Cricetulus griseus: one gene and its partner. The protein of the gene in region 1 purifies or fractionates together with the protein of each later gene. This does not show direct contact. Links are inferred from orthologs where the notes say so. Each region holds a gene or a part of one and is shown on either strand. Other genes may lie near its edges.

Region 1 (6,188 bases):
TTTCAGAACCCCAACCTGCCTAGATGTTAAGTCCTGGAGATGAGACTAAAAACCCCCGTCTGCTGGAAATAATCCTACAAATTATCCACCCAAATTATCTCTTACTGAATTCCATGCCATGCTTTTACAAAGCTTCCCTCCAATCAGCAACTTTTCCTAGAAATATGCAAGCTTATTTTACAGTCCAAAATTACCAGTCTTGCAGTAGAAGAGAAGAAATCTACCCTGACACACAGGACAGGAAGGCACCTAGCCCCGCTCTACCTTTAAAGAATCTCCAACTATTGAAAGGACAAAATTCCACCTGCTTGTAGGAAACACATTTATTTGTACAAGGGACAGCCACATTGTTCTAACTGCCATGGTACCTGTGCAGTAGGCAAGTTCAGTTTGGCTATGGCTGTGTGCTGTTAAGGCCCAGGTAGAGTGAGTTTAAATAAATGATCCTGTTATAATCCCATCTATCTTTTTCTAACACCCACTCGGCGACAAGTTTTGAGTCCACACACGAGATGCCGACATGTCAAAGAGCCTTTATTACTTTGTACAGCCTCATGCTTTCTTTCCAGCTGCCTTTGCAGCAGGGGTTTTCTGGGTCGGGGTCTTCTGACTCTTCTGACCTTTAGCAGGAGCTGCAGCCTTCTGGCCTGCAGCCTTCTGGCCTGCAGCCTTCTTGCCTGGTGCTGTCCCCTTCTTGGCTGGAACCTTAGCTTTAGCAGCTGCAGCTGCAGCCGCTGCCGCTGCAATGGCAGCCTTAGCAACAGGAGCTTTTTTGGGCGAAGCTTTCAGGATAGCAGCTCTCTGAAGTTTCTTGACCTCAGTCTTGATGATTCTGTTCCTCTGGAGAAAGACAGGAGAGCATTCAGGGCAGGCTTACACCAAACTTGCTCTATGTCCACTGTTGAACAAGCTTCACCCACAGAACTAAATTCAGGTAAGGATACTACTCTACAATATTGTGTGGGCATGATGGAAGGACAATTAGTGGGACGAGTTCTCTCCTTCTACCACCATGCTGCTCCAAGACTCAAGTCAGGTCACTGGGCCAGCATCCTAACCCTGATGAGTACCTTCACTCACTGCGCTGTCTCTCGGGCCCCAACCTAACAAGCACCATGAAACAGGGACTGGCCACTGTCTCCTCACACTCACACAACACATGTACATCTGAAAACTCACCATTTTCTTTGCTTTCATTACTTTGAAACGATCAAAATCTGTCATCTTGGCTTTCTGTTAAAAGAAAACAAAATGATCTCTCCTGTTGTTTGTCAGCACACACCCCCTCCCCACCCTCCAGAGCTCAAGGCTTCACGCCATTACCCTTTCTCGGGCATCAATCTTCTTGGCCCATCTTGTGGCCGACCATTTCGTATTGATATCTGCTTTCTCCCAAGCTTTCCGTACATATTTCTGGCGGGCACTATGTACATGAAGAGCAAGACCGTGGATTAATGAATCAGCTTCAGTTGTCTTCATAAAACATAGGCTAGACAATGCCCCCCCCCAGGGAATTCCAAAGACTGGAAAAATCACCTGTCTGAACACACATACTACTTACATAGTGCATGTGCATAAAACCATGTCCTTTTGTAATTAATAAAAGCCACTCCTTACACCAGTGTATACTTTGTTCATTAACTTGGCCAAGTTTCTTACCCACCCAAAACTTCCTTACTGCTTGCTATGAACCCTCAATACTCACCTGTAATCACTCCGTAACTACTGCCACCCCTGAACCACACTGTCTCTCAAAACATGCTGGCTGCCTCAGCACACCCAACATTGCTGACTTGACAACCACACTGCAAGGCAGGGCAGGCGTTCTAATTTGCATTTGTTCTGTGGCTTTACTTCCATAAGCTGGAAACAGGCTTTTTTATGTTGAATACTTTGTAACCACAACCATAGTCGCTTTAAAGGAAGGCATGGTAACTCCTTAAAACACACTAACTCCATCACCAAGGTAGGCCAAGACAAGAAGGAACCTATCTCAACACCAAAAGCACACAACTTAGAAACAAACCACCACAGGCCATCCTGGCCACTGCTCCATGGTGCTTGCCAACACAATGAAGCCACAAGCACAATTCTGCTCTAGCAACAACGGTAGCAACGCACCAAAGCCACTCTGGGAACGAGCCGAGTTTCTCATTGAAAACAAAACAGAGGAGCTAGGGGGTGGTGGTCGTGCCTTTTAGTTCCAGCACTCAGGAGTCAGAGGCCAGCCAGGTCTACAAAGCTATACAGAGAAACCCTGTCTCGAAAAAACAGTGGTAAGGGAAAGAGACCAAATATGGACAACTTTCATGACGGTAAAATGACTGGGCGACCCTAACTAATTAAGGTCCGTTTGCTGACATTCTGGGTTGGCTCTGAACCCTCTGTATTGGCAGAATATTCTAAAGGGGAAAAGCAGACAGTGGCACCAAATTGGAAGGCAGCTAACAGGGAGTGAGTTACCTGTGTGGGAACTTGAGGATGAAGTCAGTAAGCTGCATGCACTTAAAAGGCATGGCCTGTCTCCTCACCCGAGTGCAAGGTCCATCGACTAAAGCCTAGAATACAAAAACGGGGATCTCAGATGGGAACCTGGTCAAGATGCCCGAAAACAATAAAATCTCTTGACCTTTCCAAGACTGGGTATCCATGACTATTCAAATAAAGCCAACAGCGTCCTGTGAGCTCCATGGCCCAAGTCGGGGGCAAACTCCTAGTTCTCCTACCTCCTCGTCCCAGAGAGCTGATGACAGGCGTCACCACACCCAACTTCAGGGTCTTGAGCAAAATCTACCTCCAGCTGCTCTGAATTCCTTTTATCGTTACCTTTTTTGAACTCCCCTGCATTTTTGACCCCAACTGAAACATCTGCCTAGTGTACTTCCTGAGGGAATCTATGAAGAGCGAACTCTCCTCTGCACTTCAGACTCCGTGTCTAGCGTTCCCTCCAAGGGAAAGCTGTAACCTACAGAACCCCACCCGAGGGCCATCTACGGTGTCGTCAAAACTCACAGCCACGTTAAATGAGAGGCTGTGGGCCGCTTCCTCTTATACGTACTCTGTTCTGATCGATTACATCTACAATCGCGACCAGCTTGCCAGCATGAGGCCCAAAGGAGACGTAGGCCACCCGGCCAACCTCCACGAAGCGCCTGAACACCTGAAACAGATAAGGAAACGGGGGTTGGTCTTTTCTTTTTTTTTTTTTCCTTGATTTTCCGAGACAGGGTTTCTCTGTGGTTTAGGAGGCTGTCCTGGAACTCGCTCTGTAGACCGGGCTAGCCTCGAACTCACAGAGATCCGCCTGCCTCTGCCTCCGAGTGCTGGGATTAAAGGTGTGCGCCACCACTGCCCGACTTCAGGGGGTTGGCTTTAACTGTTCCAAGTCCGCTGCTTACCGGCTGTAACACAAGGGCTCAGAGCCGCTCACGGGCCGGATGTGCCGTTGGAAACCGGCGCTCTGCTTGGCTTAAAATGTCCCGCGGCCGCTGTCCCGGGGTGGCCGGGTCCCGGGGTTTGCTCTTACCCATCCTCCAAACCCTCCCGATCGGCTCGGACCCCCTCCCGGCGTAGGAAAGGACGACTGGAGGGGCCCGCGAGCTCGCCCACCCGCCTGCTCGCCAGCAGCAGCGCCGCCACCGCGCTCCCCGCCAGTGCGCACGCGTGGCCCAGGCTCGCCCGGCCGGGCCTCCACGCAACCGGGAGCCGCGCTCCCCCGGGGCTGGATTTTCCACGCTCCGCCGCCTGCCCCCGCGCGGCCCGGGTCGCGCAGAGTCACCCCACGCCGGGGCTGGCCCGCCCGGGGCGGAGGGCGAGCGCCCCGACCGCCGCGCTCTCGGAGCCCTGGGCAAGACACACTCACCATGTCGGCGGCGCTCAGCGAGAAGGAAGAAGGCCCGCCCGGCCGTGCGCATGTGCCGGCGGAAGCTCCGCCCCGACGTCCAGCGTGCCCGCCGATTGGTCGAACGCGGCCGTGCGTGCGTTGGCGCGTGCTCGGTGGCTGAAGTCATGGCGGCGGGGCCTCCTCCGGGCGGCGTCTTCTCGGACACGTGCTGGAAGAAGTTGGCGTCCTCGTTTCTCCGCTGCTGTTGCTGGGGTTTGGGTAGCGACAAGGTGTTCGTCCAAGCCCGGCCTCCCGGACGCTGGCACGACCGGACGGGGACGGGAAACCCGAGTCCCCTGCCAGCCGGGAACACGCAGCGAGACCCCGTTCCCCGGTCTTAGCACGTCACGCTTCCCCCACAGATCCTGGGCTGGATCGTTTGGGAAGAAATCTCCCATTCTTTCATGCATCCATTCTTTCATGCATTCGTTCATGCTCGTGTGCGGGCCTGTGTGCAGTGGCCGCGTCGGTCCTTCCTCATTCTTTTGTTGTTTTGGTTAGGATTTCTTGTTTTTGAAACAGGGTCTCTCTATGTAACCCTGGCTGTCCTAGAACTAGGTAGACCAGGCTGGCCTCCTCCCAAGTGCTGGGATTAAAGGCGTGGCCCACCATGCCCAACCCTTTTTATTTTCTGCCAGCACAAGACTGGGCACTATGGAGACCCAGAAGCAAGAGAATGGATAACTTTTGGTGGCTTGCAACAACAAAGTCTCTGAGACTTTGGAATAGTTTGGGTGAAATTCACACAACCCTGAGTGTAGTAAACAGATACAAAAAAAAGTATATATATATATATATATATATATATATATATTGTATTTTTTTATTTTACATAAAATTCACAACCAGCAAACCCCTTAATGTCAGAGAAGTATAGATTGTAGCTCTGAGAGGTGTCTCAGTGGATAAAGCACTTAGCGACGGGTCAGAAGTTCAACTCTCTTAACACCCACATGAATGTACAATGGGTGTAGTGGCCTGCCTTGCAATCCCAGCCCTCAGGAGTCTGAGGCAGTCGGGTCCCAGGGGCTCACTGAACAAAGAACCTGGCCTACTTTGGTGACCTCCAGGTCCCACAGTAGACCTTGTCTCAAAAACAAAGTTGGAAAGCAATGACGATGCCTGAAGTTAGCTACTGGCTTTACAGCGGTGCAGGCACAGCTGAACGTGCGGGTGCACACGTGGGAACAGGCAAAGCAAAACAACAAAAACTAGAACCCATCTTCCTTTTCCTTGGCGCACACCACAGTTGCTGGAGGGGCAGCAAGCTTTCTGAGTTCTGGTCATGCTGTCCCTTCATCCCGCCAGTATGATACAAGAGTGTTTACTTTTTGCAGACAAAGATCTCCCTGTCGCAGCTGTGCCCTTTTTTCCCCTAAGTGTGTATTAACTTAAAAAAAAATTAAAGACAAAGAAAACCCCTTTTTCTTGATGAGAGTTCCCTGGCTCTAACATAACCAGAGAATTGAACCCAGGTCAGGGAGGGAGGACTGAGATGGTTTAACATCCAGTGGTCTAGTGAGTACACTTTGGGGAAGTCCTCTGGTTTACAGGACTTTGCCATGACGATGCAGCCAGATTATGTCACCAGCTGCCATCCGGCAGTGTTGTCTTTTACCCTCAACCTACAGGAGAGACAGCATAACCTAGAGTCCCAAGGTCCTCCACCATCTCACCTGCACACCCTCCGATGTTTTAATATTTTGTTTTTTTCCTCCTGGAAAGACCAGAGCACATCTTTATCAAGAAGCATCAGGCTGCTTCAGATTTCTTTCAAACTCTGTTTCATTGACAAGGGAACCTTTTCCAAACAAGTCTGGTCTTTGCCATAGTGCAGCACTCCTCAACCTTTGGGTCGAGACCCCTTTGGGGTCGAAAGACTCACAAGGGTCACTTCAGACCACAGAAAAACATAGATATTTACATTATGATTCATAACAGTAGCAAAATTACAGTTATGAAGTAGCAATAAAAGTAAAGCTGGCGTTGGTGGCGCACGCCTTTAATCCCAGCACTCGGGAGGCAGAGGCAGGCGGATCTCTATGAGCTTAAGGCCAGCCTGGTCTACAGAGCCAGTGCTAGAGTAGACTCCAAAGCTACTCAGAGAAACCCTGTCTCGAAAAACAAAACAAAAAAAGTAATTTTATGGTTGGGGTTCACCACAACACAAGGAACTGTATTAAAGGACCGAAGCATTAGGGCTATTGAGGACCTTATGAATCATAATGTATGCAAGATATCCGAAATTCAACCCAGACCCAAAGAGGTCTCAACCTACGGGTTGAGAACCACTGCACTAGAGTGG
Region 2 (6,188 bases), on another chromosome or scaffold:
AGATCACCCAGAGTTATAGGTAATTGTGCCCTGCCCGCAGTGGGTGCTAGAACCAAATTCTGGTCCTCTACAAGAGCAGCAAGTGCCTTAACCACTGAACCATTTCTCCAGCTCCCTTTTTGTTGGCACGGGGCTCTTGCTATCCCTGGCTGTCAGGTACTATGTAGTTCAAGCTGGCCTTAAGCTTGTGGCAATCCTCCTTCACCTCCTGAGCGCCAGAATTGCTTCTGAGCACCAAGCCAGCGTTGAATTCCTGCCTCCTCCAAAGTGCTGGCATTACAGTGGTGTGCCAGCATGACTGGCTGTGATGTTTATTTAGAGATGTGTATTCAGTGAGTACTTCCATCTACCAAGCCTACCATGGCATCTCTGGGACTTCTACCCCCCTCTGCCCTCTAGAACTTTTCTCATTAAAATAAGAAGGGGTGACTGTCAAAGGGCGATAGAAGTGCCCAGGCAGAAGCACCCTCCTGGTCAAGGCCAGACAGAACACTAACAGGGTTATTCCTATGCCTCGAGTGCTTGAGGCAGATAGGGACTACTGGAAAAAACAGGATCTACAGAGGTAACCAAGTCTAGCTTACAGCTGCTTGTGGTTGGTACAGTAGTGACAAACAAATCTGAGACCAAGAACACTCAAGACAGATTCTGCGGGTGATGTGGAAGCTCAGCAGGACAAAAAAACTTAATGCTGAGGAACATTGGATGAGGGCTCATTCACCGCAAGTGGTTTTACTAGAAAAAGAACCTGACTAAGAACCTGTTCTGAGGGCTCACAGAACAGGACAGCTGTGGACAGGGCTGAAGCCAGGCCAGAAATGTAAAGAATGTATTACAGACTATAGATTACTGATTACTGCAGGCTCAGCAATTTGCTAAGCTTTCACAGTAGAATAGGGGTGATGGCCAGCTGGATGTAGAGGGGTTAATGGACTCATGTCAGGTGTAGCACAAGCTGTGCAAAACCGTTCTTTAGCTCCATCAGAACTTCACTTCCTGCTTGACCCTTTCACCAAGCTAGCCCAAGACAGATGCACTCTTGAATTTTCAGGAAATTTGAATATACATAAACAGGGGGGGGGGCATACTGGCTGACTGTTCTGTAAAAGGGATTTTCTAATTATAAATAACTCTAGTTCTAACAGTCCAAGGCTGTTAGTACTCATTTAGGTGAGATGCCTGCCTGGTTTGGAACCTTCCAGACTCAAGAAGCCCATTGTTGTTTTCCTCATTAAATTGCTCGAACAGGTAACACAAGCCAGCTACAAGCTGCGTGAATCTTGCCCTTTGCCTTTTTCTCACAGAAAAGCATCTGAAAACCAGTATTGGACTTTTGGTGAAATAACACACAGAGACAGGAGAAATCCAATAAGGAGTATTTTTAGTGAAACACCCCCCCCACACACACACAATGTGGTTTCCACTACAATGTATTATCTGACGACCCCCCCCCCCCCGTGGAGCTAAGGAATAAGAATTATCACCTGAGTTTGTCCTCAGCCTGTCTTACTTTTCCAATGCTCTTTGTCTCTCACAGGTTGAGCTCAGCTTTTCTGCTCCCTGTCTGGCTAAAAACTAGGACAGACCGTAAATCTTCCTAAAGCAGATCTCAAGGACACAGCATCCTCTGGCAATGCCTGTTGTGTAAGGGGCAGGCATCTCAGGTGTACCGTGGAAACAGGAGGCTATGTTAAGCATGCACTTCTCTATCCCTGCACACTTGTTGGCACTACGACTTGAAACAGGATACATTCCATGCTGTGGTCTGCCAGGACCATCGAGCTACAGGCTGTTGCTTAGAGGAAGCTGAGATAGGCCCCGAGGGACCCCAGCTAACAGGAATCACAAAAGATGGAGTCTGCAGAGTGCCTGTTAATCCGTTATGATTTATTAGCTGTACAGCAGTAGATCCTCCTCCCCAGCTTTCAACCCCATTACATATTTTATTACAGGTCTCATGTTGGCGTCCTAAAATAATGAAAAATATCACACAGTACAGCTAAGTACAAAAATGCATCAACCTAGAGTCTGATAGCTAACTGATGGCTCTCTTAAAAGCAATACACGGAAGAAAAAAAGTGTTTGAAATCAGTCAGACTGAGGCTCTTTTAAAAAAACACATATCAACATGTGACAATTCATGTGCAAGAATCACTTTTTAAGTTGGTTTGCTTCACATTATTATTAATCATTTTTCTTTCTTTTTTTTTTTTTTCCAGATCCAAAGTTTAAATTACTGACCTAGTGAAATTTTTTGGCCCAGCTTGCCAGGGCTGCTGTGACCCATTCATAATCAACTCTTCTGGCTTTAACAAAGATTTAAAAAATATAACATTCAGCTACAAACAGAGCAAAGGAAATGTTGATGGGAAATCATAAATGAGAGTTATTTGTTCAAGGTTCAAATGCTGGCTCCATGAGCTGGAAATCACAACTTTCGACATGGGTGTCCATCACTAGCAGGCAGCAGGCCCGATGCCCTTCTGCCACATGATTGTGATAGATACAACATTTACACACCACCCAGTCCCTGGTACCTTAATTTGCAAGTAATTAAAATGCTGGGTTTTCTTACACTGCGCTTCTTTTCAACCTCTTAATTAATGGAAAAGATTAAAATGTAAAAAAGGTTATTTACAAGCTTGACCATACCAGAAACTTTGCCAAGAAAGAGGCAAAGCATTCAGGACAGAAACTGATCGTAGCATGCCATCCTACTGGTGTGCAGCTGACTCCTAGCAAAGGGAGTCAGGGAAAAGCAAAAGCAAAAACCAGGTTAAAAGTCTTAAGTCTTTCCCAAGTCTGCATTTACAATTAAAAACTCTTCTTGGGAAGACCATAGAACTCTGGGAAACCCGTGGCCATTCTGGAGTGGTTTACTAAATCAAGAGAGAGGGCTCAATGTCTCTGTTTCCATCTAAGAAAACTAGTTAGGCATCAACACTGTCCTCAGCACTTCACAGTAAACCCTCAGAGACTTGGAACATTCCATGATTTGCTAACATCAAACAACAAGTTCTAGTAAATCACATTTTTCTAACATCATCCTTGAAGTTTTCGTTCTCAGTATGTTTGGTAAAATGGTGTAAAATTATGCCGTTCCCAAAGCCAAAAGAAAAGAGAAAAATTAAGATGTGGGCCGTTTAAACACAGCCCCAATAGTCCTGGTGACGAGCAAGGGCCCCGTCATCACCGGTCCATCATGCTGAGGATCATCTCAGGCGTGAGGTCTCCATTGGGGGCATCTGTGGTGGCTGCTTGAGCCTCCTCTTCGTCCCCTTCCACAGGCTCAGCATCTGGCTCTTTTTTGACTTCAACTATAATGTTCTCAATTGCACCTGTATTCTGGTCTTCAACCTGAATGATGGCTGTTGCTGGCAAAGAAGAGCAGGAACAAAACAAATAGTACATTAAAGTCCACAGAGAGTACAGGGATCCTTTCAGATACTGACAAGGTGGGGGAGGGGGGGATATATCAACATAGACAGCAAAAGTGAAAAAAGCACAAGCAAGCCTCAGCTAATGTTAAAGTGGTCACACATAAAAAAACCAATAGGCTAGAAACTGTCACACCAAATGCTGACATCCACCTTCATAGGCCTCCAAACTGCACTGTTAAGATGTTTAGTTTTCCTTTATGTTTGTTGTGAATTTAGGATTTACAGTAATATGAGGCAGGGGAAGAAAATCCAACCGCACACATGACTGGGAATACATCAGTGTATGATGCCGATGATATTTCTGACTCTATAGTGCTCCTGATCCAGTGTATATAGGTGAAAGGCAGAGCCTGGTTCTAGCTCTAAAGTTAACTTCCTTCTTTGTGATGGACATGTAAACACGGGCTCAGGAAGAATATTTAACATATTAGAGACGAAGTGAATAGAGAGTAAACTTCTGTTCTACCTGTGCCTGAAAGGGACACACCACGCCATCCCTGACACCTCAGTTCTGCTTTTCTCTTTCCCTTCCCCTCCTCATCATGTAGCCCAGGCCAGCCCCAGTCCTCCAGGTGTTGAGACTGTGGGTGACAATGACACTCACAGCTTTGTGGACCAGAATCCTCTCTAGATGGGCACTCTCAGTCCACTCATTTTATCCCATCCCTTGAAATCTGGCTCCCTTCTATCCATAACCACATCAACTTTACAGGCCACAGTGACTGGTTGTTTTCTAAACCCTCCTACATCAACAGTGTACCTGCCTCTAGGACATCAGCATCCTTCTACTTTGGAATTTTTTTTTTTTTTTTTTTTTTTCTGAGACAGGGTTTCTCTGTGTAGCCCTGGCTGTCCTGGAACTCAGAGATCCACCTGCCTCTGCCTCCCAAGTGCTAGGATTAAAGGTGTGCACCATCACCCAGCCTACTCTGGACTTTTTCTGTAGGAATATAACAGGCTTTTAGAGAAAACTTCTTTAAAAAAAATAAAAAAGCTTCCTGAGAGTCTGTTGCCAATGTGACCTTCACTTGTTTTCATGGCTTAGTTCCCATCTTCACAAGAACACAGACCAATCTGGCTTCCTCAAATGAGAGAGATGATGCCAACTGAGCCAAGGCAGGCAACTTACGCTGGTTCTGTTTGGGCTGGTTGGTTCTTCCAGGAGGTCGTCCTCTCCTCTTCTTGGCAGGTGGTGGGGCTGGGGCCACAGGCTGAGGCTGAGGCTGAGGCTGAGGCTCTGGCTCAGGTTCAATTTCTACAGCAGGCTCCTCCTCCTCCTCATTGTCATCCAGATCTGGCTCAGCGTTTTCTTCTCAAGAAATCAAGGCACAGGTGGTGGGTCAAGCAGAGTGGTGAAAGAGACAGCAGACAAATGTTCTGAAAACAGTCTATACTTCTAGCACTTGGGAGGTAGAGGCAGGCAGATTCTGAGTTCAAGGCCAGCCATGGCTACGTAAAGAAACCCTGTGTCCACTCCACCCCCCAAAACCAAAACCGAACAAAAAAGGGCTTTTACCAAAATTTTGCTATCAGCATTGATTAGGTAAACTGGTCCTGTGAAGAAGTATTCAAATTATATATTTCAACTATGCCTTACTTTGACATTTCACATGGGGTGCCCATTACTTTTCCCTTTTAGCTTTAGTGTAAGAATACTGAGGTTTTGTTTTGTTTTAAACATTTTATTTATTACATATACAGTCTTCTGCCTGCATGCCAGCAGAGGGCACTAGATCTCATTCAAGGTGGTTGTGAGCCACCATGTGGTTGCTGGGAATTGAACTCAGGACCTCTGGAAGAACAGTCAGTGCTCTTAACCGCTGAGCCATCTCTCCAGCCCAAGAATACTGAGTTTATGTCAGGTGTGGTGGCACTCAAGAGGCAAAGGAAGACAGATCTCTTGAGTTAGAGGCCAGCTTGGTCTACATAAGGAGTTCAGGGAGAGCCAGGGTTACAAGAGAAACCCTGTCGTGAAAAATTGTAAAACAAAAACACCCGCCCCCCAAAAAAACCCCAAGCTTAAAACCATAGAACCATTTTCATCTCTTATCAGTTATGTGACAAACTACAAAACGGTGCTTGAGGAAATAAAACACACATTCCTCTTATTATACAGGATAAAGCAGGAGACTGAGCTGAAGTTGAAGCAGGGGAGACGGAGATGCTCGTCTCTGACTGGACAGTATGTGTGAGTACATGCCCACCTATTTGAGAAGGAAATACAAAACTGTTGATGCAATACAAGGCTCTTTTTTTCTAGAATAATCCCAGCCTTTGAAAGCATTAAATTAAAGAGAGTGAATTACTAAAGAGAATACAGATAAGGAGTCAGATAAGGCTGTGAAGTCTCAGATCTCTTATTCGGTGTACTGACTTGACAGACAGCTCCCCTCCATTTCCTTGAGTAGTATCTATAGGACCTCAAACCATTGAACAGTGGTTTGAGGAATAAAGAATGAGACAGACACAAGTCCGTACTCAAGATTCTGAGGCAAGAGACCTGAGAGTTTGAGGCCACCCTGGGCTAGTTTATATAAATACAGCCTGTATTTATATTGTTCATCAGAACATAAAAAGTTCCTTTTATTAGGCTTCTTTATTAGGCCTTGATTATTTTAGTTAAGAGGTGTTATTTGTGTAGCCTTGGCTGTCCAGGAACTCTGTAGACCAGCCTGGACTTGAACTCACAGAGATTCCCCTGCCTCTGCCTCCCAAGTGCTGGGATTAAAGGTGTGTGCCACCAACGCC

Evidence for each region. The genes of interacting proteins can lie anywhere in the genome.
Region 2: the proteins of Rpl14 (region 1) and Ctcf purify together in Homo sapiens (affinity purification with mass spectrometry; 5 studies listed by BioGRID and IntAct, with this or other methods). This does not show direct contact. The link is inferred for Cricetulus griseus from reciprocal best matches to the Homo sapiens genes RPL14 and CTCF.

The regions. Positions count from the first base shown.
Region 1 is NC_048597.1:227,643,806-227,649,993, reverse strand, and holds Rpl14 (60S ribosomal protein L14), read right to left. Parts: upstream 4,001-6,188; 5' UTR 3,866-4,000; coding exon 3,863-3,865; intron 3,161-3,862; coding exon 3,059-3,160; intron 2,559-3,058; coding exon 2,464-2,558; intron 1,424-2,463; coding exon 1,324-1,423; intron 1,234-1,323; coding exon 1,180-1,233; intron 841-1,179; coding exon 553-840; 3' UTR 514-552; downstream 1-513.
Region 2 is NC_048596.1:181,960,091-181,966,278, reverse strand, and holds the end of Ctcf (transcriptional repressor CTCF), read right to left. Parts: intron 4,753-6,188; coding exon 4,570-4,752; intron 3,375-4,569; coding exon 3,190-3,374; 3' UTR 1,867-3,189; downstream 1-1,866.